Linked DNA regions of Cricetulus griseus. The protein of the gene in region 1 interacts with the protein of each later gene in a pairwise test. Links are inferred from orthologs where the notes say so. Each region holds a gene or a part of one and is shown in the gene's direction. Other genes may lie near its edges. The genes, in order: Rfx6, Frs3, Dtx2 and Nedd9.

Region 1 (6,103 bases):
GAATGTTCCTGAGTATGTCTACATATTAGCAATTAAGAGGCAAGCCCTACACACTAAGCAGGCTGGGAGGCTTTCAGAGGATTTGGTAGAGACTAGTCTGCCAAGTCGTCCTAGGTAAGCAACAGTGTCCCTTTGTCTAGCATATCTACATTGTTTATGCTTTCTGGGTTATGTGATGGACTGTTGGAGTACTGCATGGCTTCGGCTCCATTAACCCTTGTTTTGCTTTCTCATGATCCCCAAATGATAGACTGGTGAGACAGAGGAGACACCAGCACACAAAACATGGGAGGACAGACTGGCTTGGCTTCCATATAGCAACACTGCAGGACATACAGGAAACAAAAGCATAAACAGAGTGTGATTCCACCTACAGTTTCAAATAACACTGGACATCTTAGAACACATCCCCATGGAAATGGGGGCTATTGAACTCAGACATGGTCATCCAGGATGAGGGCAGACTTGCCTCATCATCTAAGCATTCTGTCATGGTATCCCCTTAGGAAATGTTGACATCAATTCTTTAAACTTTGGGTGCAATTTACTACTTACACCTCCTTGCCTTGGGATTTTTAATGTTGGAAGATTATCTATTACTGATTTAATAACTTTAATTATTTCATGTCTACTAGCAATTCCTAACTCTGAAGAGAAGAACAAAGAACTCCAATGGTGTTTTGTAAAGTAGACCATTTACTTTAAATTATGGCCAAAAATTTGTTTAGGGCCTTAGAAGATATTAGTTTGCATTTCCATCGATCAGTTCAATGGGAAAATTGCCAAATACTCACTTAGTGTTTGTATGACTCACATACACAAACACACCTTCTGGATATCAAGTGGTCTGTATTTTAAAATTAAAGGAGAAATTCCAGTCATTTTCTGAACATTTTCCTCATGGCAATGCAGTATTAGTGGATAGAGCCCTTCTGTGAACACAAAGAGGACTTCCATTGCAGAAAGCACCTGAGTGTGTCTCGGTAAAGGTTGTACATGTTAGCACTGAAGTGAAAAGCCCTACACACTAAGCAGTCTCCAAGGCTTTTTAGAAGACTAGGTAGAGAAGACAACGCCAAGTTGTCCTAATGGGTAAGAGCCTCAGAACATAGGATATGGGTAAGTGTGTGGCTCCAGCCTGCAGTCAGCAGCCACAGGAAGCTGGTGAGAAGAGCTTTGAGAGAGGAGATGCCTTTTCCAGCAAGAGCTGCTGAAAATGCAGAAGCTGCAACACAAGAACAGTTTCAGCTGCCCTGGGGGAAACCCTGCTCTTGGATAGACTGTTCCCTGTAAGTGGTCCTTCAGTGATCTGCCACTCTGGGTCTCATTTTGTTTTCTCTGGGTGATTTCAGTTTAATGTTATTTCATGCTGAATTCAAGGCTGACATCTCTTTCTGATGTCCCCCAAAGAAGATACAGGATCAGCTGTGATGAAACAATGGAAACCAGTGCCTGATCCTATCTTTTCCTGGAGGGCCTGTTTGTCAAAAGGACACAAAATAGAATGAAGAAAACCATGTGTCAGCCAGGCAGTTGGATCCCAAATCCCCACATAGCACCCTTCTCTAAGAAAATCCAACTTACTTTTAAACAAACACGACTTTTGTCATTTTTGATTGGAAGGTTATTAAATTTAAGCAAATATCCCTTGTACACTGCTCAGCGTGAAATGAGGAATTGTAAGGGAATTTTTGAGAGAAAAAAAATCTTTTTTTGTAAGGGAATTTTAAGAGAATGCATCTTTTCCTCCAATCTCGGCAGCTTAGAGAGCTGTGTGAGGCCCAAGTGTCCAAGTCAGTGTGCACAGTGCAGAGCAGTGTGATGTGACCAGCTCTGCCTTCCAGTCACTGAACAGGATGCTCCTGTATCCTTGGATTATGCTGGAAATACATATGATCAAGTCTGTGGGAAGAATGGCGAAAGCTGAATGGTACTCAGGGTTTTATTCCCTCTCATCCTAAGCTTGCAGAGTCAAGGCTGCCCTGACAGGTGCCTCAGTTAAGACTCCCGAGAATAAAGATGGGGACAGGTGAAGCTTCTTGTCCCAGTACAGAGGAAAGCTAAGCTTTCTGGGATCATTCAGGAAGTTTTTCCATAGAGAAGTAGCTCTAAACCTAGAACAAGGTGAGAGAGAACGCATGAAGAGGAAAACAGCTCAGGTGTGACTGACACGGTGTGGAAGTGAGCTGGGAGCAAGCTTCTGCTCAGACCTGAGACGCTCGAAAAAAGGTAGCATTGCCTCCGCCCTCCTCCACCCCGCCATCTGTGCAGTACCTGTTCACTCTGTCCCCTCTCCGCCATCGGTGGGCTCTGAGCCTGTGGCCTCCTCCCTGCCCAGCGGCCACAGGTTCCCCAGCCCCGCCCCGCCCCGCCCCGCCCCTCCCCAGGTCTCTGGGCTCTACACCGAGCTGGGCCAAGCTCTGCTCCCAGGTGTGCAAACGCTGGAAAGGATGGCCAAGGTCCCCGAGCTGGAAGACGCCTTCGTGCAGGAGCAGCCTTCGCGCCAACTTCCCTCCGAGATCGCGGAGGAGTGCTGCGCACAGCTGCTGGGCAAGGGCTTGCTGGTCTACCCCGAAGACAGTGCGTACCTGGCCGCAGGAGCAGCTGCAGGCGCCCCAGGCAGCCGGGAGAAAGGCGGAGACCCCAGGCTGCAGGTGGGAGTCAAATCAGGTGAGTGCTCCGTTCGCCTTGGCTGCGAGGCAGAGACTGAGTCCCAAGGGCGCCCAACAATAAAAATAAACCCATACTGAATACACATAGAAGAAGTAGGGTGCTCTGTCGGGACCGTTTTATTTCACCACGAAAAATGTTAACGGAAACATTGTTAACACCGAGGGCTTTGCTCAACTCCTGCCTTGCTCCTCCCCGGGCTTCTTATTCAAAGCAAGGCAGGTAGATGTGGAGGCCACCGGACTGATCGCATGTTCCCTTGTTCTTTGTCACTCCTTAAACTCGCCATCAGAAATGCATTTAAGCAATGGTAACTTTTCCTCCGAAGAAGAGGATGCGGACACACACGAGAGCAAGACCAAAGCCGCCGACCCGCAGCTCTCTCAGAAGAAGAGCATCACGCAGATCATGAAGGACAAGAAGAAGCAGACTCAGCTCACCCTGCAGTGGTAAGCCGGCCCCTACGCGCAAAGCGAGCACCCTCTGAAGTCCACCTGCCTGCCGGTGTCTCTAGGACCCTGGCTTTCCCCCTGCTTGCTTTCCTTAAAACTTCCACAAGTTTAAAAGACCCATGAGAAAAGCATCCATTTTCTTTTCACTGCCTACACGCACGATCCATGTTCTGATCATGGTGAAAAACGAGATATATATTTTTGACTAAAACCTCTAGGTTCTTCCCATGTGAGTAGTGATGAATTTTTCCGTGATTATTTGCTAAACACGGAAACTATTTATTTGGTATTTTTATGCTTTTGAGATAGGATTCTTCAAAATAACAAAAAGTGGAAGGATCCACATGAGGGCAGATACTGTGTCTTTGGAAAGTAGATGGATTGAGTTAGAAGTAAAAAACTGATAAGTCAGTTAAGCTGTTTTGATTAACAATTTTCAATTTATATAATATATCACACATATGATTTACTATAGCAAAACATCACAAACTGATTTTTTCCCAAGATCTTTTAAAACTAAAAGATTATCACCAGGTCTTCTCCTAAATATTAAGAGCGTTTTTTTTTTTTTTTTTAACCTTGTCTAAAAGGAAGAGATATCTAAAGTTAAGTCCTTGTCATTAAGAACATTTGCATAATGGGAAGGATTAAGGCACAAATTTCTTGCCAATTCTGAATAATAAATAAAAGATTACTTACTTACTGATTAGTTATTCTGTCTGTCTATCGTCTTTCTATCAGTCGTCTATCTAGTATTATCTAAGTGTTAGAAAAAATTGAAAAATAGAATCCATAAATGCTAGCAAACTTTATTTTTGTTTATTTAATTATTAAGTTCTAATTTGCATAGCCTAAAGTTCTGAAACTATGCTTGAACCCTTGCAACATCTGAAATATAAAACAAATATTCCTGTAAAGTTGTATTTTGACTATTGAGGTTTGTTGTTACAATTACTAGTTGAAAATACCCTGGAGTTGTACATAATTGAGAAATTATATGGAATATTTAGGAAACAACTACTGCCATCAGGATAATTGGGAAAATTTTTGACTTTGGATTTATTTTAAAGGATTTTGAATGATCTCTCCTGGGTTTTTAATTCAAATTGAGTGATTAGAAACAATCCTAGGTTGTTTAAAATTCTTATCATATATATGTATATATGATAAGATATATATATTATATATATGTCTAGTTGTTGACTCAGTATTTTGAAAATTGAACAATGACTATAAAAACAAGTACCCAAATAAATGGATTGTGGGTATTATATACCTACCTTTAAAATGCAAGTTTTAAATAGCAATTTCTCATAAGAATTTTCATGTTTTGAAGAATGTTACATTGCTCTTGTGTTATAAATGATTATGATTTTATTAAACTTGAAAGTAGTATAATTACATTTTAGTAAAAATTACTGGACAATTAGAAAAAATGGCAATAGAATATAGAAGTCTTCATTTCTAGATTGTCATTCAGATAATTGCATCACAAACATATTCATTACATTACATTTAGTTAATTAAATGGAAATCTACCCAGGTTTTCAAAGTTTATATAGTTATATCTATACTACAGAGTTGGGATTGTCTGTGTTGTATTCAGACTTCCATAGAGGTATATTGTTGTTTTAGATGATCATAGGTTTAATCACGTGAAAAGTTTTAAGAGTGGAATCAGATCGACATTTCAGCTTCAGTGAAGTGAGTTTACCCTGGTGTCTTTTCCAAACAAATACTATACCATATTTTCTCTTATTGATTAGGATTCAGAAGTAGTCAGGGTGTATGAGCATTGACAAGCTGAAACCTGGCAATCCTTTTGAATTGAGGATGTTCTTTTAAAAAACATAGCATCTACAATTTCACCACTTACAGTCCTAGATCAAATAGTAAACAATTGAACACTGAAGATTTATAAGGAAGTAAGATCCAGTATTTACAATGGTGGCCTGGAAGGAGTGGTTTCTACATTAACATCACATTGTGATTGAACTAACAGGTGATCACTGTTGTTCTTACTCTTCTCAAATTAATCCTTATGTTTTGTTTGTGTTTATGTGGCACATCTGTGCTTGCTTACAACACAAACATTGTTTCAGGGTTTTTGTGAGTCAGGAGTCTAGACAGGTTACTTGCCACTAAGTTCATGGCATTACCAGAAAGAAATTAAGAAATTAGTTGATGCTGGAATTTCATGAGACCTTTTTTCTATTGTTTCTCTAATCTCACTGGCTGTTGAGAGAATTTATTCTCTCTGTAGACCTGAGGTCCTCAACTCCTGTAGATTACCTGTTATTCCCTTACAGGTGGCCCTCTTTAGAAATTACCGTTTGTTTCCCTAGATCTGCAGAGAGTACCTGCTATGACTTCAGGCCTTCCTTCCATTTCTGACTTCCAGACATTGTTTCTAGGGGCAAAATTAAATGTAATCAAGAGAATTTCCTTTAATAGGAAATTAACTAACACTTATACATAACCTTTGTACACGTTTTAAAAGTCCACTGTTATGTTTTGATTATGTAAACACTGAATAGTGACAGCAGTGTAAGGAGTATATCCATCACCATAAACCACTAAGATTCTTTTTATGGAATACACATTCAAATTCCTCAATTTTTGGCTATTTTTATCCAGAACAAAGAAAGCCCATTTATGTTTACTCATTAACTCACTTGTATAGTCTGTTTTCAAAATGAGCATTAAGTCATTGAGGGGGCAGGGAGGTAATAGTGAAAAGGTTTGACCTAACTCTTGTCCTTTTCTCTTAGGCTTGAAGACAATTACATAGTGTGTGAAGGAGTTTGTCTCCCACGGTGCATTCTTTATGCCCACTATTTAGATTTCTGCAGGAAAGAGAAACTGGAGCCAGCTTGTGCAGCCACCTTTGGAAAGGTATATGACATATATTGGCTATACTCCCTGACAACTGACATATTAGGTAGACAATATGTAAGCCAATTCAACTGAATGATTTCTCC
Region 2 (5,978 bases), on another chromosome or scaffold:
CCAGTGCACCTCTTTAGCCACAGTTGAAATGGGATCACAGTTTCTTCGGGTGGGACTAACTGCTCTTGATGGGGGTCTCAGGTTTGTGGGTGAGAAATGTAACCAGACAGAACAAGGCTCATGTACATTAATCCTGGGTGAAGGGTTGGGTTGTGTGGGATGCTGATAGCCAGAGCAAACTTTTAGGTTCATGTAGTGTCAGTAACTATTCTAGAATTTTACATAATACAGTCCATTCTTATAACCCATTGAAGCAGTTTCTTCTAAACTGTTTTACAGTTGAAAAACCAACCATTGACCAGTGAGTAAACTAGAAAGCTACAGAAGTTTTAGGAGGTAGCCTACCTCAGCAGCAGCTGGACTCAAAAGGACCAACAGAAAATCACCAGGCTTTTGAGTGTTCTGCAGTTGTTTATAACCATCAGAGCACCTCCCAACTCCAAGTACCACCCCCCCCAGCTCCCCTTCAAATATCCAGTGCCACCCCTCCCTCCTTCCTGACTCCACACCCACCTGCTTCCGGAATTCCTGTTAGTCCCTCAGGTCAGGTTTCCTGTGGAAGGTGGCCAGGATGGACTGTCCACACTCAGGGGTGGGAACAGCCACACCCCTTAGCAGCACTGTTTCAGCTCCACGAAACAAGGGAGGGGGGGTGCGTTTCTGGGGCCCCAGAAGGGGACTTGTACCCTCTTCCTGATTAGTTCTAGTTTGCATGGAACTGTCTGGCACACAAAATAACAATCAGAATTCAGACCTCTACCCTTCATCCTTCATATCCCCCATCTCAAGAGCAACCTAGGGACGGACGTTGGTGGCGCATGTCTTTAATCCCAGCACTCGGGAGGCAGAGGCAGGCGGATCTCTGTGAGTTCGAGGCCAGCCTGGTCTCCAGAGCGAGTGCCAGGATAGGCTCCAAAGCTACACAAAGAAACTCTGTCCCGAAAAGGAGTGGGAGAGAGAGGAGAGAGAGAGAGAGAGGAGAGAGAGAGAGACCTACTTCACCCCCTGTAAGTCCCCTCCTCTCTCCTTTCAGGTAAGAACAGATCAAACACTGGCTCCGCCCCCTCACCCCAGATGCAACCAAGCTCAGGGTTCAACCTCCCCAAACAACACCTCTTCTTGGAAGGATGAGCCCCAGAGGCCCTAGGGACTGGAGGGCAGTGGACGTGGGAAGGTGTCCCTGAACCAGAGGGAAAGGGAGGAGAATGTACGTTTTCATTAAGTGGCCTCTCGGCAGAGCCCCAAACTTTTCCTAGGACTTTGCAGGTCCACCCGCTGAGCGGGGGTCAACGTGTGCTTACCAAGTTCGCTTGGGGTCCCTGTCTACCTGCTGGTCTAAGAGTAGGGACTCAAACTCTCCGCAGGGGTCTCAGCGTGGCCCAGTCTCTCTCTCTGGAGAGACCCCCCCGTCGGTCTACGCCCCCGGTGGCCCCGACCAAAGGGTGCTGCAGACTGAGGATCGCGCTCGTGGGTCTCAGGACGGGGAGGGCGCAGGCAGGCATCCATAAACTTAGCGACGCGACGCTCCACCGCCGAACCGCGAGGCGTCTGCAGCCCCTCGGCCGGCCCCCGGCTTCAGCCCCGCCCCCTGCGGTCCTCTGCAGCTCCCCCCCTCTGTCCCCAGTGGTCCCTCGCCACTTTCCCTCCTGGATTTCGAGTCCTGTCCTGCTTCAGTGGCCGACCCGCTCTGCTGCCTTTGGTGATTCTCTTCTGCTTGAGAGATCGCTGATACCTACGTTCCCCGCCCCACCCGGCGCCTCAAGCCAGGCCACGCCCCTATGGGTTCCCAGGCTCCGGCCCCGAGCGCCCTCTGGCGTCTGCGCATGCTCTCTGCCCCCGACTGCAAAGTCCTCCAAAGGGACCTTCTAGGCTGCCTGCCGGTGGCCCCCGCCCGGGTCGGCCTGCCCGCAGCGTCTCGTTGGTGCAGCCGGTGACCTCCGACCCCGCGGGACCGGAGCGGGGCGGGGCGGGGAGGCCTTAGCTGCGGGCGGGCGGCGGCGGCTGCTGCTTCGGGACCCGGGAGCGGGGCCCGGCGCCGCCCGGGCCGCGGGGCGATGTGAGTCGGGGTGCGGCGGGGCGGGGACCAGGCGACTTTTCCGAGGCCGTGTCGTGCCGCGCCGCAGTCTCCGCTCCTACCCTAGAAAGCCCCAAACGGGCGGGCTAGCGGCGGACCCGGGGGCTGGGGGCGGGGATGCGGTCTCGGAGGGCGGCCGCGACCTTCGCATTCCGTCTGGGTATCTAGAAAACCTGTAACCAGTTCTGCCTCTCGCTCCCCAGACCCCACCTCTCCTCTCTCCCCTCTCCCCTCTCTCCTCTCCCCGGTTACACCTTCGGGTCTCCGGGATCCCGCAGAACCCCCTCACTCACTTTTCCAGACCCACAGACACATCTCGTTCTCCCCTCAGTGGCCCAAAGGCTTCCGCAGTCACCATCCTGAAATGCCTCAACCTTTTCATTCTTTTTGCTCCATGCCGGAATCCAGAATCCTCACCCATCTTCGTATACATTTTCAGTCCTCATACTTCCATCTAGTGTCTGTCCCCAAATCTAACTACCTCAGACCAGAGCCTCCCCCACCCCACGCAGTGTAATCCCACTCTGGATTATCTAATAATGTGTTTGATATCTCAAAGAAAAGGAGGGGTATCGGAAAGGTACAAGCCCTCCCCCATCTTGCATCCAGTGTACTTGGCTTCCCATCCCTTCCCAACACCCTGTTGACAGTTTAAGCCCTATGGTCTTTTCAGTACCGCCTTTAGCCTGCACACACCTCCTTCCAAAGCCAGACCAAGAGTGTGGGGATTCTTTTACCTAAGTGTTGTGCAAGGGTGCAGGGCTGGTGGGGGGGGGGGGGAGACACACCGGGAAGTACTGTTTTCCTGGAACAGGAAGGAGGGATTTCAAGAGTTTTCTTCGGAGTCCTGGTTTGTCAATTCATCTACCTAGGGCTCAATCTGAAACTTTGCCTCTTGTTGTAACTGGCCTTCCTGGCACTAGGAGCAGAAAGCCTGTCTAGCTTTCAAATGGGCAGTGCCTTATTAATACCTATTTCTAGAAGTTACTTCAGCTAGAACTCCCATGGTTGACAGATGTTTCCTAAAGAGGGGCGGGGGACAAGAGTTAGAGGTCTTGGGGGGGGAGTGACAAGCCCCCACCCAGATATGTCTATGTCATAGCAGGAAAACATTCCTGCGGGTGAATGTTGGTTTTCAGAGGCTCAAACTCGTGCTCTTGCTGCACTAGCATTTGTTAATATTGTTGTTCTGAGAGAGAAGGGTCAGGTGATGGTCTGAGCTGCACCTGTCCCAGAGGGCACTCCAATGATGGCTGTGAACTAAAGGTGCTGGGCTATCGGAGTTCACTGCCGTTGGACCTAGGGAGTTCCTCCCGGGACTGAGAATTTGTAGACCTTTACCAGAGATTGTGTTCACTGGCCTTTCTGTTAGGACCTAGGCCAGATAAATCCAGGTGGGATGCACTGCTAACAAGTCTGTCTCATGGAGAGTTAGGGGCTGAGGATAGGTTTCCATTAATGTGTGATCTCTGTCTCCTGTGCTAGGTGAGCCTCAGGTGTGACCCACAGGGATCCAGGTGACGTCTCTGCAGACTCTTTGCCATGTCACCCCACCAAAGACTGGGGGAGTAAAGTGGGAATTCTTTCCCATGCCCCTCCCATGGTCAGCTCCCCAATGGCCTGGGTGAGGTAAGAACTGTGGCTAGGTGTCAGTTTTGTAGATTTCTTAACTTGGGAGAATTGTAGGGAACAGGTCGCTGGATTGTTCAAGGTCCTACCACAGCAGCAGCAGTTCTGGGATAATCTGCTGCCTCATGGTTTTTTGCTGGCTGAGTCTAGGAGTGTAGCTCAGTGGTAGTAACTTGTTTGGGCTCTGTCCATGTGTTTCTTGTTCCCTTAGGTCACTAAGGTCTACGAGGTCTCCTCTCCATATTAAGGCAGAAACCTGTCTGTTGTGACATGTCATCCAATTACAAGTATCCTGAAGGGAAAAGCCAGCCAAGGTCTTTTATCTGTTCTTTGGCCTTTGGGAAGAAAACTAAGCATTCTGGTAGTTATTTTAGAGTGCTGGTGGTTGAATCTGGTGCCTCACATGAAAGTCTACCACTGAGCTACATGCTGAGCCCCAGAATTTTTTTCTCAGTGAAGAAATACCTAATCAATGTTTTTTTTTTTTTAATCATGCTAGTTTGAGCCCAACCTGGTAGTATGCACTTTTACTCCAGCCCTTGAAAAATGGAGACAAGAGCTCTGTGAGTTCCAGTGTTCAGTCATTAAGTGTGGGGTTGTTTTAGTTTATTGGTTTGTTTATCGCCCCCCGCCCTCCCCACACAGTCTTTCTCTGTGTAACAGCCCTGGCTGTCCTGGAACTCACTGTGTAGACCAGGCTGGCTTTGAACTCACAGAGATCTGCCTGCCTCTGCCTCTGAGTGCTGGGATTAAGGGTGCATACCACCACCACCCGGCATAGCTCATTGTGTTTTATGATCACAGTGTAGCAACAGTTTACTTGAGGAGAACATCAGAATTACTGGTTTCCAGTGGAAATTGGGGTGGGGCATGAAAGAAAAGTCAGAACATGGATAGAGTGGAATGGGTAAGGTAAAAGCTGAGGAAAAGAGAAAGCAACAAGACGGTATCTGGGACACCAAGTGGCACTTTGCTGAATCCAACACAGCTGAGGCAGCCCCTCCCCACACCATTATAGCCATGCTGCCTTTGCAGCCCAAGACACTGTCCATATCACTCCACAGGTAGGAGCCCTGTGTGCTTCCCAGTGCCACACTAACTGTTACCCCCCCACCACCTGCAGGAATCCTTAACTCATTCTAACTTGAATTAATGTTTATCCCAAGCGTGTTTGGCTGTGGATTGAGAGAGAATTCCCTCAGGGTGTGTCTGTGTTGTGCAACCTCTTGTCCAGAGGATATGTTCACAGTGCACCGCTCTGCTCAGAGCTGCCGAGCAGGGTTGCCGGTGAGCTACTCATCCTTGTCTTTCCCTAGGGTGGAAAGGCTGCTCTGACACCATGGGGAGCTGCTGTAGCTGCCTGGACAGAGACAGCGTGCCACACAACCACCCTACCAAGTTCAAGGTACCCAGAGCCTCCCCCCTCGTTCTCAGTGGCTTGTTGAGTTTAGGCTGCCAGTATCTCTAGGGAAGGGGAAATGACAGGCTGTGGTTGTGGACTCATTAAGGCACCTTGTGCTTGCTCTTTGACTTCTGAGGTAGTGGGGGGGGGACTAACTCTTGTTTTTTATTTTTGATTGTTCTCCCCCCCACTCTTACCACCAAGAATAATGTGTTTTAAAGAGAGCATGCATAGCCCCTAAGAAATGCTACGTTGGTGATTCATGAACCTTGGTTCCCTACATCCCGTAGGAGGCGCCTTCTCCTCACACTGAGATTTCTTAGGGTTAATGTTTCTCCTTCCCAACTGAGAGGGAGCCATCAGCAAGTTCTCACAGTTGAGCGGTTGGAGGCTGGCTGTATTTGTTCTCCTTGGGCCTGTCAGCAAGTCTTTAGACTTTGAATTAACAGTTAAACCCTTCCTCATTGATATCCCTGGCCTTTGAATATTAAGCCCCAGGAAGTCCTTGAACATTGGACAGCTAACCACCTGGTCTTTGAGGTCAACAGGTGAACTCTTTCCTTTCTGCAAATGACAAACCTGTGGATCATAGATGAGATTTCTCCAGAGAACTGTCATGACCCATGGCACTGCTCTGTGTGACCCAAGGGATCCAGTGTACCTGTGGTACAGCTAAGAGCAACTCAGCATCAGGGCCCCAGCCCTATACAACACTGCCTCCTGGTGGCTCAGGGTCCTTTGCAGACACTTCCTGGGTTCTCTACTGACCCTGTGTCCACTCTCCCTGCAGGTGACAAATGTGGATGATGAAGGGGTGGAGCTGGGCTCGGGGGTGATGGAGCTGACACAGAGTGAGCTGGTGCTGCACCTGCA
Region 3 (5,236 bases), on another chromosome or scaffold:
TCTCCTGCCCTTGTCTGCCAGCAGAAGTGGCTCAGTATTGTTGGGTGAAGGGCTTGTTGCTGAGGACATGTAACTTCAGTGTTGACCTGGTTGCTGATCATGATGCTGCTGTCTCTTCAGGAAGCCTCACTGACTTTTGAACCTTGGTCTTCCTGCTGCCACCTCCTAAGCTTTGGTGTTGCAGGCATGCACCACCACTCCCAGTTCATGTAGCATTGGGTTTGGAACCCAGGGAAGGCTTTATGCATGCTGGGCAAGCAGTCTACCAACTAAGCTAAAAGTCCCAGCCCTCTGCACAAACTTGTATTGTGCTTCTGTAGAGACAGATTTGTGGACAGGGCAGGCTGGCAGCTTCTCAGCACACCCAGTTTGTTTGTAAAGAACACTGACATTTGGCCGGCAGTCCCTCTGGCGCTCTGGGGGATAGGTAGGTGACTCTTACGGGATTGACGTGGCTGGCCTGAGTGCTTTGAGAAATGCCAGTAACTGAAGCTCCTTTCAGCCATAGAAGGCTGTGTGGACAAGTGGGCAGCAGGATGCCTAGCTGGTTCTGAGCCAGAGGGAGGTCCTGAGGTTACCTGGAGACTGGTCTGTGTAGCATAGAGCTTCCCTGTCTTCTGTTTTTGAGACAAGTTATTGCTGTACACTCAAGGCTGGCTTGGAATTTTAGTCCTGCCTCTCAAGGCATGGACTGCCATGCCTGGCTGACTGGGCTTTTCTAAAAGGCCCCCTGATCTAAAGGAAGTCCTACCTATGTGGTCCTTTTGTTTGGTTTTCTTGCCAATGACCAGAGTGTGAGTGCTTTGCAGGTATTGTGAGTTGTGTGCATGTGTGTGTGGGTGTCTGTGTCTTTGTGTTTGGTGAGTTAGGGCATATGTGGGATGTATGTGGTACCCTTTGCTGGTTTCTACCTTGTCCAGGAGCTAACAGCTGATACTTTTTTAACCAATGACAACTTCCTGGATCTCTGAGGTAGTAGGATTTGGTCACAGTACATGAAGTAGAATCAAACCCCATGTCCTCTGATTCTAGCTTCTACACTAAGCCCCTCTCCATGTGGCTGTGACCTGCTTCTCTGGTCTGGAGTGGTCCTGTGGTCCTCAGGCTAGACAGTGGGCCCCTGGTTGGGTGGCTGCTTCAGGGCTGCACCGTTCTCCCTGGCCCCTTTTCTGCCCCCTCACTGGCTTAGCTAAGATTCTGAGACTTTGCTGCCCCTTCTGTCCTACTCTTCTGCTACTTGGAGACTTTTAGTCCCTGGTTCAGGGCTCCCCTCAGCTGAGCCTCACACACTCATGCACAGCCAGCCGCTTCCAGGATCACTCAGCTTCAGAGCCCAGTGGGCCTGTGACCAAGATCCTCCAGTCCCAAGGTGTGTGTGGGGTAATGTGTTGTGACAACATTTTCAGTGCATACAGATGCTCACATTGTCCCCACTCCATACCCACTAGACTCTAAACTACCCCTCTCTGAAATTTCCATGGAAAAGTGCTGATAGTTGGGCAGGAGGCACCACCAGGATCTGCTGGGGTGCTTTGTTCTCAAAGTTGCCCTTTGACACATCTGGGGTGGTTCTTGGGGGATGTGCTGTTCTGTTGTGAATTCTGTGTCTCCTCGGAAAGCAGGTGGCCTAGGTGGGGTGTCACCTATCCTGTGCCTTCACTGGAGGCTGCCCTGTCTTTCAAGCTAACTTTCTTGTCTCAGCCCTGCTAACGTTTGCTCCTTGCAGCTGGGACTTCTGCCTGCCTGCCTGCCTGCCTGCTCCCTCCTCAGCCTTGCTCACCCCACCTCACATGCCTGGGACATCGCTGACATCTTGCTCTCTTCCAGATGGGCCGCCGAAGCCCGAGCCGGAGCATGTGATCAGAAAGTACACGGAGGAGCTGAGAGTGGCCCCCGATGAGGTATGTGTGCTGAGAGAAGGGCCCCATCCCTCAGGGCCTGGAGGAGGCTGACACTATGCTCCAGAACCTGGTGTTGGTTCCACCCTTTCATGGTTGGATAGACATTACCAACATGAGGTAGCCTGAGCTCATTCTCACCGCATGGCCAAGCTTAAGTCCTGAGCAGTGTGCTTTCCCCTCTGGCCCATGGGGTACGTAGGCATGACTGACTGGCTCTGCCAGGCCATCTTTGTGAGGGAACAAGGTGGCCTTGCCCAAGGGACACCCTTTCTTCTCTGGCTTCTGTGTCTAGAGAGACCATTGGGTTCTTTTTGCCTTGTGGCCTGTGTTTTTTGGTCAGCCCTTCAAGGACATAGGTGAGAGATGGCGCTGTGGTCCTATGTTAAGGAACTGTTTCTGGGTTGACTTTGATGGCTTGGCATTCCCTCCTTTTGACAAAGCCAGGACTCTTCCTCCCTCACCCCTGCACTGGCTCACTGTGCTTGGTATTGGTGTGTGAATGCTATGGCGGATGTCCTAGCAAGTGTGTGCTGTGTGCTTTCCCTGCAGGACTGCATCATCTGTATGGAGAAACTGTCTGTGGCCTCTGGGTACACCGATGTGACTGACGGCAGCACCCTTGGGCCCATGGCTGTGGGACGCCTCACCAAGTGCAGCCATACTTTCCACCTGCTGTGCCTGCTGGCCATGTACTGCAATGGGAACAAGGTACCCATAGGTCTAGGTGGGGCTGTGGTGACCTGTCCTCACGTTGTGGTGTTACATACCTGTAATCTCAGTACTTGGGAAGCTGAGGCAGTAGAAGCATAAGTTCTAGCCCAACCTGAGCTCTACAGAGAGACCCTGTCTCAAGAAAACCAAACAAGGAAGAAGCCCAAGATATGCTAGTACAGTAGCAGGCTGAAGGGCAGATGTTGGGCTGTGGGTTGAAAGACTGGGCTCACTCCTGATTAGACCAGTAATGGCCTGGGCCAGGAGTATAGCACAGTGGTAGGGCACCTGCCTAGAATCCCATGTGGCTGGGGTGTGGCATAGTGGTAGAGCACTTGCCCTAGGTTCCCAGCACCAGAAAAAGCCAAAGGTTGGGGGCTGGAGAGATGGCTCAGAGGTTAAGAGCACTAGCTGCTCTTCCAGAGGTCCTGAGATCAATTCCCAGCAACCACATGGGATATAACCATCCATTATGAGATCTGGTGCCCTCTTCTGGTGTGCAGATATACATGGAAGCAGATGATACACACATAATAAATAAATAAATAAATAAATAAATAAATAAATAAATAAATGGGCCAAAGGTTTAGAGATGTTTTTGAATGTATGTCTGGGTCCCTGAGGCCCACCCCAAGCTGTAGGATTATGGCCAACAGGGCTGAGTACATGACCCCCTCCAGCTTACCTCAGGAAGGGGTCCTGGGCTCGCTCCTCTGGGCATTAGGGCTGTGTCTCCTACATACTACCACTTCCATGCATTTAATATCTTCCTCTGACAGTCCTGAGTAGTCAGCCATCACCCTTAGGGCACTGTGCATGGACACCTGCTTTCCCAGCACTTGGGAGGTGATGCCAAAGGCTCAGGAGTGCAAGGGCAGCCTGTGCTGCTTAAGATCTTCCTCAAACAAACGGCAAGTAAAATAGTCAGCAGATAGAGGAGCTTTTTGTACAAGTCTAACCCTGAGTCCATGTAAAAGTGGAAGGAGAAAACCGACTCCGTTAAGTTGTCCTCTGCCTTCAGATGCATGTCCATACAGGGAAACAAAACAAAAACTTAGGACTCTGGCTAGAGTCCTATCCTACTCCTGACTGCAGGTTCCATGCCACTTCTCACAGGGAGGGTCCTTCTCAGGCCCCAGCAGCTGGCCCAGCTGTCTTGTGGAGGAGTTTAGTCAGAGGTGTGTAGGCGGGAAGGGGAGGCAAGTCACACAGTTTTCGAGGCCTGGTGCTCCTTGTACACTTCCCGAGAGCCATGTCAGGGAGGTCTGTGAAGGTGACTAAGTGGAGACTTAACTCTCATTTTCCTACCATGTGCCAGTCTCCTGGTATCTTGTCAGTTGAATGAGAACCGGGTTTGGGGTGCACAACGGTACACTATTGAGGTCCAGTTTCTGTGAGGGGGCTGTGTGGGGGCCAGAGTAAAACATGCTGACCCCCTTTGCTATCTGGACGTGGCTCTAAATTGTGCTGGTTGCTGCTAGCTCAGGCTGTCTGCTCTGCCCTCTCTAGGATGGGAGTCTGCAGTGTCCGTCTTGCAAAACCATCTATGGGGAGAAGACAGGAACACAGCCATGGGGAAAGATGGAGGTGCTCAGGGTCCACGTGTCTCTCCCAGGCCACGAAGACTGCGGGACTATACTCATTGTTTACAACATCCCTCACGGCATCCAGGTGAGGGCCAGCTCCCCACCAGGGACCTGGCCAGGCCACCATTCCTGAGCGCTCTTCTTCGTGCCCACTGCACTCTCAGCATCTACACCATATAGGGAGCAGGACGGCCCTGCCTGGAGGGGTGCTGGGGTTGTGTAATGGAAGAAAGAGAAGTATCTTTTGACCCTTCTGAGTGAGGGAGGCTCTTCACAGGAGGGAATGTCTGAGCTGGTGTGGTGTGGGCAGAAGAGGATGAAGAACACTGCTGGGGCCTCATGAGTGTGCGTCAGGTGGTAGGGTACAGGGCGGGAAGGCTGAAATGCCGGCCAGGACCCTTACTACTAAGGGACCCAGTACTGAGGCTCCTCCATGGCAGAAGCCCGCCCACTCAGGGTTCATGAAGAAAGGCAAGAGAAGCAGGAGCGTGCATCCTTGCCCCTGGCAGAGTTCACAGTGTCCTTATGAAAGAGGAGGCTGCCAGGCCAGGAGTGCAGGTTATAGACAGGCAACCATGGCTGGGCGACCACACTGACTTTGAGTGTTGGCACAAGAGGGGACCACAGCTAGGCTGTGGATGAGGGTTCCATAGCCTGTGAGCTGCAGCTGGCCCCAGTTCTGCCATCAAGTTGTCTGCATTCCTCTCACAGGGACCGGAGCACCCCAGCCCTGGGAAACCGTTCACAGCCCGGGGTTTTCCCCGGCAGTGCTACCTGCCAGATAACCCTCAAGGCCGAAAGGTAAACCCCCCACCCCCACCCTCTGCTTCCCCTCATCAGGAACCCACCTTGTGTTGGGGAGACATGACCTTACAGCAGCTTCAGAGGAGAGCTGGGGTTCATTCTGGGTCAGGACAATGAAATGCCACCCGAGAGACTGGGAACACCCGCCAGCCTGGGACCTCAGCAAGGACATGGAGGCTAGGAAGAAGCTTCCAGGTCCACAGAAAAACTGATTTGGGGGCTCAGAGATGGGGC
Region 4 (5,462 bases), on another chromosome or scaffold:
TTGATTATAAATTTATAATCGTAATCACAAATTTAGAGGGTCCCCTGAAATAAAGAGGTGTCAATAATGAGAGTCAATTGGAAGGGAAGATAGTGAGTTCAGTTTTCAATATCTAATACATCACATATTTCTAGAAGGGTCTACAGAAGTGGTTCTTAACCTTCCTAATGTTGTGACCCTTTAATAAAGTTCCTCGTGTTGTGGTGACCCCCACAAGCATAAAACTGTTCCATTGCTACTTCATGACTGTAACTTTGCTACTGTTATGAATTGTAATGGAAACATCTGATATGCAGGATATCTGATATGTGACCCCTGTGAAAGGGTCATTCACCCCCAAGTGGGTCACGCCCCCCAAGTTGAGAACCACTGGTCCACAGCTTCCTCAGTTCATGTATAAGAGGTAGCTCTTTTGGTTTTCTGTCATTCTCTGAGAGTGCCCACACTTCAAACACAGCTAGCTTTGCTGAACAGACAGGGAACCCTGCCTCTGACTACTAAGGAGACTCAGGCAGCTTTACAAATCATCTGATGACCAAAAAGAGAACTCAGTTCGTCTCTCAGCATGGGTCACCCTGGGCAGGATAGTTAGTAAATGGTTGGAGACACAAGACTGCAACCTAGTGGTGACAAGTTAGGGCTCTACGCCCACGGCAGCCAGCATTGAGAATGGTAATGAATGCTCATGTGTATGGATGAGGGCACATAGCCTCTAAGGACCATGCTACACCCTGGGAAACATCGGAAATTAGTAAATGGTGGGTGGAGTGAAAAAGAAGATCTAATAAACAGATCTGTGCACTCTGGACCACACCTTCATGGACTGTCATTTTCTGCCTCCATCCAAGATCCAACTGAACAAATAAATTGGCTTTTGACTTACTTTTTAGGTCTATGCCATTCCACCATCAGCTTATCGAGATGAAGCAGGGCTTAGGGAAAAGGAATATGACTTCCCTTCTCCAATGAAACAAGATGGAAGACCAGACACTAGACCTGAGGGGGTTTATGACATCCCTCCAACCAGCACCAAGACAGCGGGGAAGGACCTTCACTCCAAATTCACCTGTGATGCCCCAGGAGCTGCAGAGCCAATGGCACGAAGACACCAGAACCTTTCTCTGCATCATCCTCCCTCTCAGCTGGGCCAGTCTGGGGGAACTCCGAGTGATGCTTATGATGTCCCCCGGGGAGTTCAGTTTCTGGAGGCACCCACAGAAACCAGTGAAAAGGCAAATCTGGAGGAAAGAGATGGTGTTTACGATGTTCCTCTGCACAACCCAGCAGATGGCAAAGGCTCTCGGGATGTGGTAGACGGCATCAACCGGCTGTCTTTCTCCAGCACCGGAAGTACCAGGAGTAACATGTCCACATCTTCCACCTCCTCAAAGGAGTCCTCATTGTCAGCCTCCCCATCTCAGGACAAAAGGCTCCTACTGGACCCAGACACAGCCATTGAAAAACTCTATCGGCTCCAGCAGACCCTGGAGATGGGTGTCTGCAGCCTCACGTCACTCGTCACCACAGACTGGCGGTGTTACGGATACATGGAAAGACACATCAATGAGATCCGTACCGCAGTGGACAAGGTGGAGCTGTTTTTACGCGAATACCTCCATTTTGCCAGGGGAGCTTTGGCTAATGCCTCCTGCCTCCCGGAACTGGTCCTCCACACCAAAATGAAGCGCGAACTCCAAAGAGTCGAAGATTCGCACCAGATTCTAAGTCAAACCAGCCATGATCTGAATGAATGCAGCTGGTCCCTGAATGTCCTAGCTATCAATAAGCCTCAAAATAAATGCGATGATCTGGACCGGTTTGTGATGGTAGCCAAGACAGTACCAGATGATGCCAAGCAACTGACCACCACCATCAGCACCTATGCAGAGACCCTCTTTAGAGCAGCAGGTCCTGGCAGTTCCCATCTGAAGAATGGGCCCGACAGCATCACGAACTCAAGCGAGTACACGCACACGGGGTCCCAGATGCAGCCATTGCGCCCTGGTGACTACAAGGCCCAGGTCCACAATAAGCCATTGCCTCCCACTCTAGGCAAGGAGCAGCCACCAGACTGTAGTAGCAGTGATGGTTCCGAAAGGAGTTGGATGGATGATTATGATTATGTCCACCTACAGGTAAGGAAACCAGACCCGTGGACCACCCACACTCACATTCAGGGAGCCGAGGATGGATATCTATAGGCCTGACAGCCAAAGGGCAGAGCACACTGAGTGCTAATCCAAGTGTTGTGAAAATTAAGGGTGGAGCTGTACAGAAATTGTACAGTCACTTTATTTACCTCCCTGGGCCCTAATTTTATTTTGAGAATGCACTAACTCAAAGGGTTGTATTAAAGCTCACTGATCACATACCTCAGCAAGCAGGAGGAGACTCACCAATGGGGAACAGTGGGTCCACTAGTCATGGCATCAATTCTTATTTATAGCACAGTTCCATGAAACAGCCCGTAGTAATAGAAAGAAGTTTTAAAATATGTCACTGTTAAGAAAATAAAACTATTGAAAATATCTGTTCATAGAGTTTCTAAGGAACTCTTGAGACCGTGTGTGTGTGTGTGTGTGTGTGTGTGTGTGTGTGTGTGTGTGTGTCTTTCACGGCTTACAAAGAATCATAGCCCCATCAGATTTAGAGGACCTGTGATCATTTGCCAACTGGCCAACAGCTTGGTCTGCATTTATTAAACTCTGCAAACTTCTTCCTAGAAGTATAAATTGTGCTAGTTCTCAGTTGACCTAGAATCCTGAAAATGACCCCTGCTTTGAAGAATTTAGACACTCCACCATAAACTAGTACTTAGTATGTATTTAATGTCTTATTCTGTCATTCTTTTCCATTTGATTGAGGGCCATGAATTATGCTGAAAACTGTTTAATACTGAAATCTCCCAGGTGCAAGAGAGTAGAAAGGATCACCTGAGCCTCATCTCATGCTGAGGAATGGCCTAAGCTGGATGAAGGCATTTAACATCCATCTCTCCAGGCTTCTGATGGTGTATCCTGGAGGGTACTAAGTACGGGTGGGGAGATATAGGAGATTCAAAGAAATTGGAAGTGAAATATGCACCCATTTTTTACCTTGGTTTGAAAGTGCATGCGTTTACATATAATCCATTACAAAAGAACCATGAAAAATTAAAGCCTCTTAAGAAGCATAAAGAGGATCATGGGAAGTTCTCCAGCTATAAGGAGCAACAACCATGGCAGCCCACCTGGAAGCAGGCTTCACTTTTCAAGCCTGTCTCCACACTAACTCTGGAAGCCCCTGTCAGTGGTTTACAATGTCTAGGGGGACATGAGGAAAGTGGCCAGGGAACAATGAGAGTCTGAGTGCATTTGTCAATGAAGCTGTTCTAAGTGACTCCCAGTGGTGAGGTAATGCAGTCTTTGTGCTGAAAACAATAGGGCAAGGAGGAGTTCGAGAGACAGCAGAAGGAGCTCTTGGAGAAAGAGAATATCATCAAGCAGAGCAAGGCCCAGCTGGAGCATCATCAGGTAAGTTCAAACAAAACAACGGGCTCTTTGGTGGAAGAAAGGGCTCCACTTAATAGGGAATGGATAACTTCAAAAGGCTGGGGTCCTGCCAGCACGCTGGCATGAAGAAGTCCCAGGCGTATAATAGGACATAAGAACAAAGTGAAGGTTTGTGGTCTGTGACTCCAACTGAGTATACCTGGCTTGCATCCAAATGATGGGGTTTGTTCGGGCTATGCCTGTTAATCTGTAACACATTAGGACTATTTGGGTTAAAGCCTTTGGTCTCAAAACACAAGTCCAATCAGGCTGGCCCAAGCTAATTGGTTTTCTATTGAGGCCACAGTAAGGAAATCAGGAGAATGAAAATGGAGCCAAGACCAACAGGATCAAAGGCTATCTTTTCTCCTTGTTTACCTTGTGGTTCTCTTCCAATATTTCCTTCATTCTCCTCTACTCTGACATTTTCTTTAGTCACCTCCTCCCTCAGGCCCCATCTAACTTTATAAAACTCACAATGGACACTCAAAGTCCTTTCTATGGGACTTTGTTTTATTATGTTATGCCTTGAGATAGGGTCTCACTATGAAGCCCAGGCTGGCCTCAAGCTTGATATTCTCCTTACTCAACCTCTTGAGTGTTGGGAGTGCAGGGGTGTGCCATTGTGCTGAGCTCCAAAGCATGGTGTTTCACATGGGATTCCTTGGTTAATGGTCAACCCCCTTCTGTGGTTATCAAATTCCTAAGAGAGTTTGATTCTAGCTCTCTCCCCAACCCTATCTCTCTACCTGTCTTTTGCATGGTCCATTGTAAGGGTCAAAGGGAATGATCCAATGTTTGTGAGACATACCCAAGTCCATTTACCAAGGGTTCTGAGCAGAGCACATTCACGTAAAGGGCTAATGAGCACCGCAGGTAAGGATAGATACTTCGAAGTCAAGGGCATGAAATCAAAGAGAAATTGACTAAAGATACAGACTCTTTAAGATGAAATAAATAGCTGATGTGCTATTTCACAGCACCACACCATGAAGTGACAAGATGCCTTTAGAAAACCTGAGTTCAAACCCTTGTTTGTAGCCAACAGGTGTGTCGACTTGAGCATCATGTAATGGGCCAAAACTTCAGTTCCTTCTCTGTAAAATAGGAAAGTACTGCCCTCTGTGAACACATGATTTGAAATCAAACTCATTATTATCAAATAATGTTGGAACACCACCCTATGTCTGCTGTGTTTACATTGGCAATTGGCCCCAGAAGACAGCAGAGCTTAAGGGAACTATCACACACTAAAGTAATTCCTAAGAATTCTGTGCAATACAAAACTGACTAACTATGTATGCACTTCTCAGGGCAGAGGGCAGGGGCGGGGCGAGCAGGATGCTATGGTTCCTGTGCTGACTCAGCTCTGAGTCCTAAACCTGGGATTCTTGGTGAAATAGCTAGAAATTATCATTTCAATCAGAAATCACAGTCCAGTTAGGGATACAAAGAAGAGAAAAAAAAAAAAAAACTGACGCCCAAGCCATTGAGATGGCTCAGTGTTGGGGACTTGCTGCAGAGCCTGATGACCTGAGTTTGATCCCCAGAAACCTCCTGCCATGGATTGTCCTCTGACCAGCACACTCATGCTATAAAATACAGTAAGCAATTAATGCTGGGATTTCCTCGTGTCCTTTCCCCAAAGTAGGTGTGCATTTGTAACACTTGCTTGTAGTAAAGAGTCATAATATGTACATCTTGACAGACAGGGTAGGAGAAATAGAGAAGCTTCATGAATTTTCCATCTTGAAGAGAGAGACAGAGCCTAACCCAGGAAGTGGCAAACTGTCAGTGATGTGTTTGACAGAAAGGTCACTGTGTCTGGCTTTCCCTTACTGTCTCTCAACATTTAAGAAACATTTACACAGGGCCTGCAATTCACCAAACACCATTTCCAGCACTGTGTGAAAAATAGTAATTCGCTGAACC

Evidence for each region.
Region 2: the proteins of Rfx6 (region 1) and Frs3 interact in binary tests that used the Homo sapiens proteins (3 or more experiments, as listed by UniProt). The two-hybrid records come from large-scale screens. The link is inferred for Cricetulus griseus from reciprocal best matches to the Homo sapiens genes RFX6 and FRS3.
Region 3: the proteins of Rfx6 (region 1) and Dtx2 interact in binary tests that used the Homo sapiens proteins (3 or more experiments, as listed by UniProt). The two-hybrid records come from large-scale screens. The link is inferred for Cricetulus griseus from reciprocal best matches to the Homo sapiens genes RFX6 and DTX2.
Region 4: the proteins of Rfx6 (region 1) and Nedd9 interact in binary tests that used the Homo sapiens proteins (3 or more experiments, as listed by UniProt). The two-hybrid records come from large-scale screens. The link is inferred for Cricetulus griseus from reciprocal best matches to the Homo sapiens genes RFX6 and NEDD9.

The regions. Positions count from the first base shown.
Region 1 is NC_048595.1:257,101,097-257,107,199, reverse strand, and holds the start of Rfx6 (DNA-binding protein RFX6), read left to right. Parts: upstream 1-2,450; coding exon 2,451-2,670; intron 2,671-2,962; coding exon 2,963-3,119; intron 3,120-5,893; coding exon 5,894-6,017; intron 6,018-6,103. UniProt on the Homo sapiens protein: Transcription factor required to direct islet cell differentiation during endocrine pancreas development. Specifically required for the differentiation of 4 of the 5 islet cell types and for the production of insulin.
Region 2 is NW_023276806.1:255,490,460-255,496,437, reverse strand, and holds the start of Frs3 (fibroblast growth factor receptor substrate 3), read left to right. Parts: upstream 1-1,870; 5' UTR 1,871-2,056; intron 2,057-3,559; 5' UTR 3,560-3,703; intron 3,704-5,019; 5' UTR 5,020-5,042; coding exon 5,043-5,108; intron 5,109-5,895; coding exon 5,896-5,978. UniProt on the Homo sapiens protein: Adapter protein that links FGF and NGF receptors to downstream signaling pathways. Involved in the activation of MAP kinases. Down-regulates ERK2 signaling by interfering with the phosphorylation and nuclear translocation of ERK2.
Region 3 is NC_048597.1:115,025,991-115,031,226, forward strand, and holds part of Dtx2 (probable E3 ubiquitin-protein ligase DTX2), read left to right. Parts: intron 1-1,827; coding exon 1,828-1,901; intron 1,902-2,450; coding exon 2,451-2,609; intron 2,610-4,121; coding exon 4,122-4,283; intron 4,284-4,909; coding exon 4,910-4,999; intron 5,000-5,236. UniProt on the Homo sapiens protein: Regulator of Notch signaling, a signaling pathway involved in cell-cell communications that regulates a broad spectrum of cell-fate determinations.
Region 4 is NC_048596.1:260,973,322-260,978,783, reverse strand, and holds part of Nedd9 (enhancer of filamentation 1), read left to right. Parts: intron 1-890; coding exon 891-2,135; intron 2,136-3,422; coding exon 3,423-3,512; intron 3,513-5,462. UniProt on the Homo sapiens protein: Scaffolding protein which plays a central coordinating role for tyrosine-kinase-based signaling related to cell adhesion. As a focal adhesion protein, plays a role in embryonic fibroblast migration.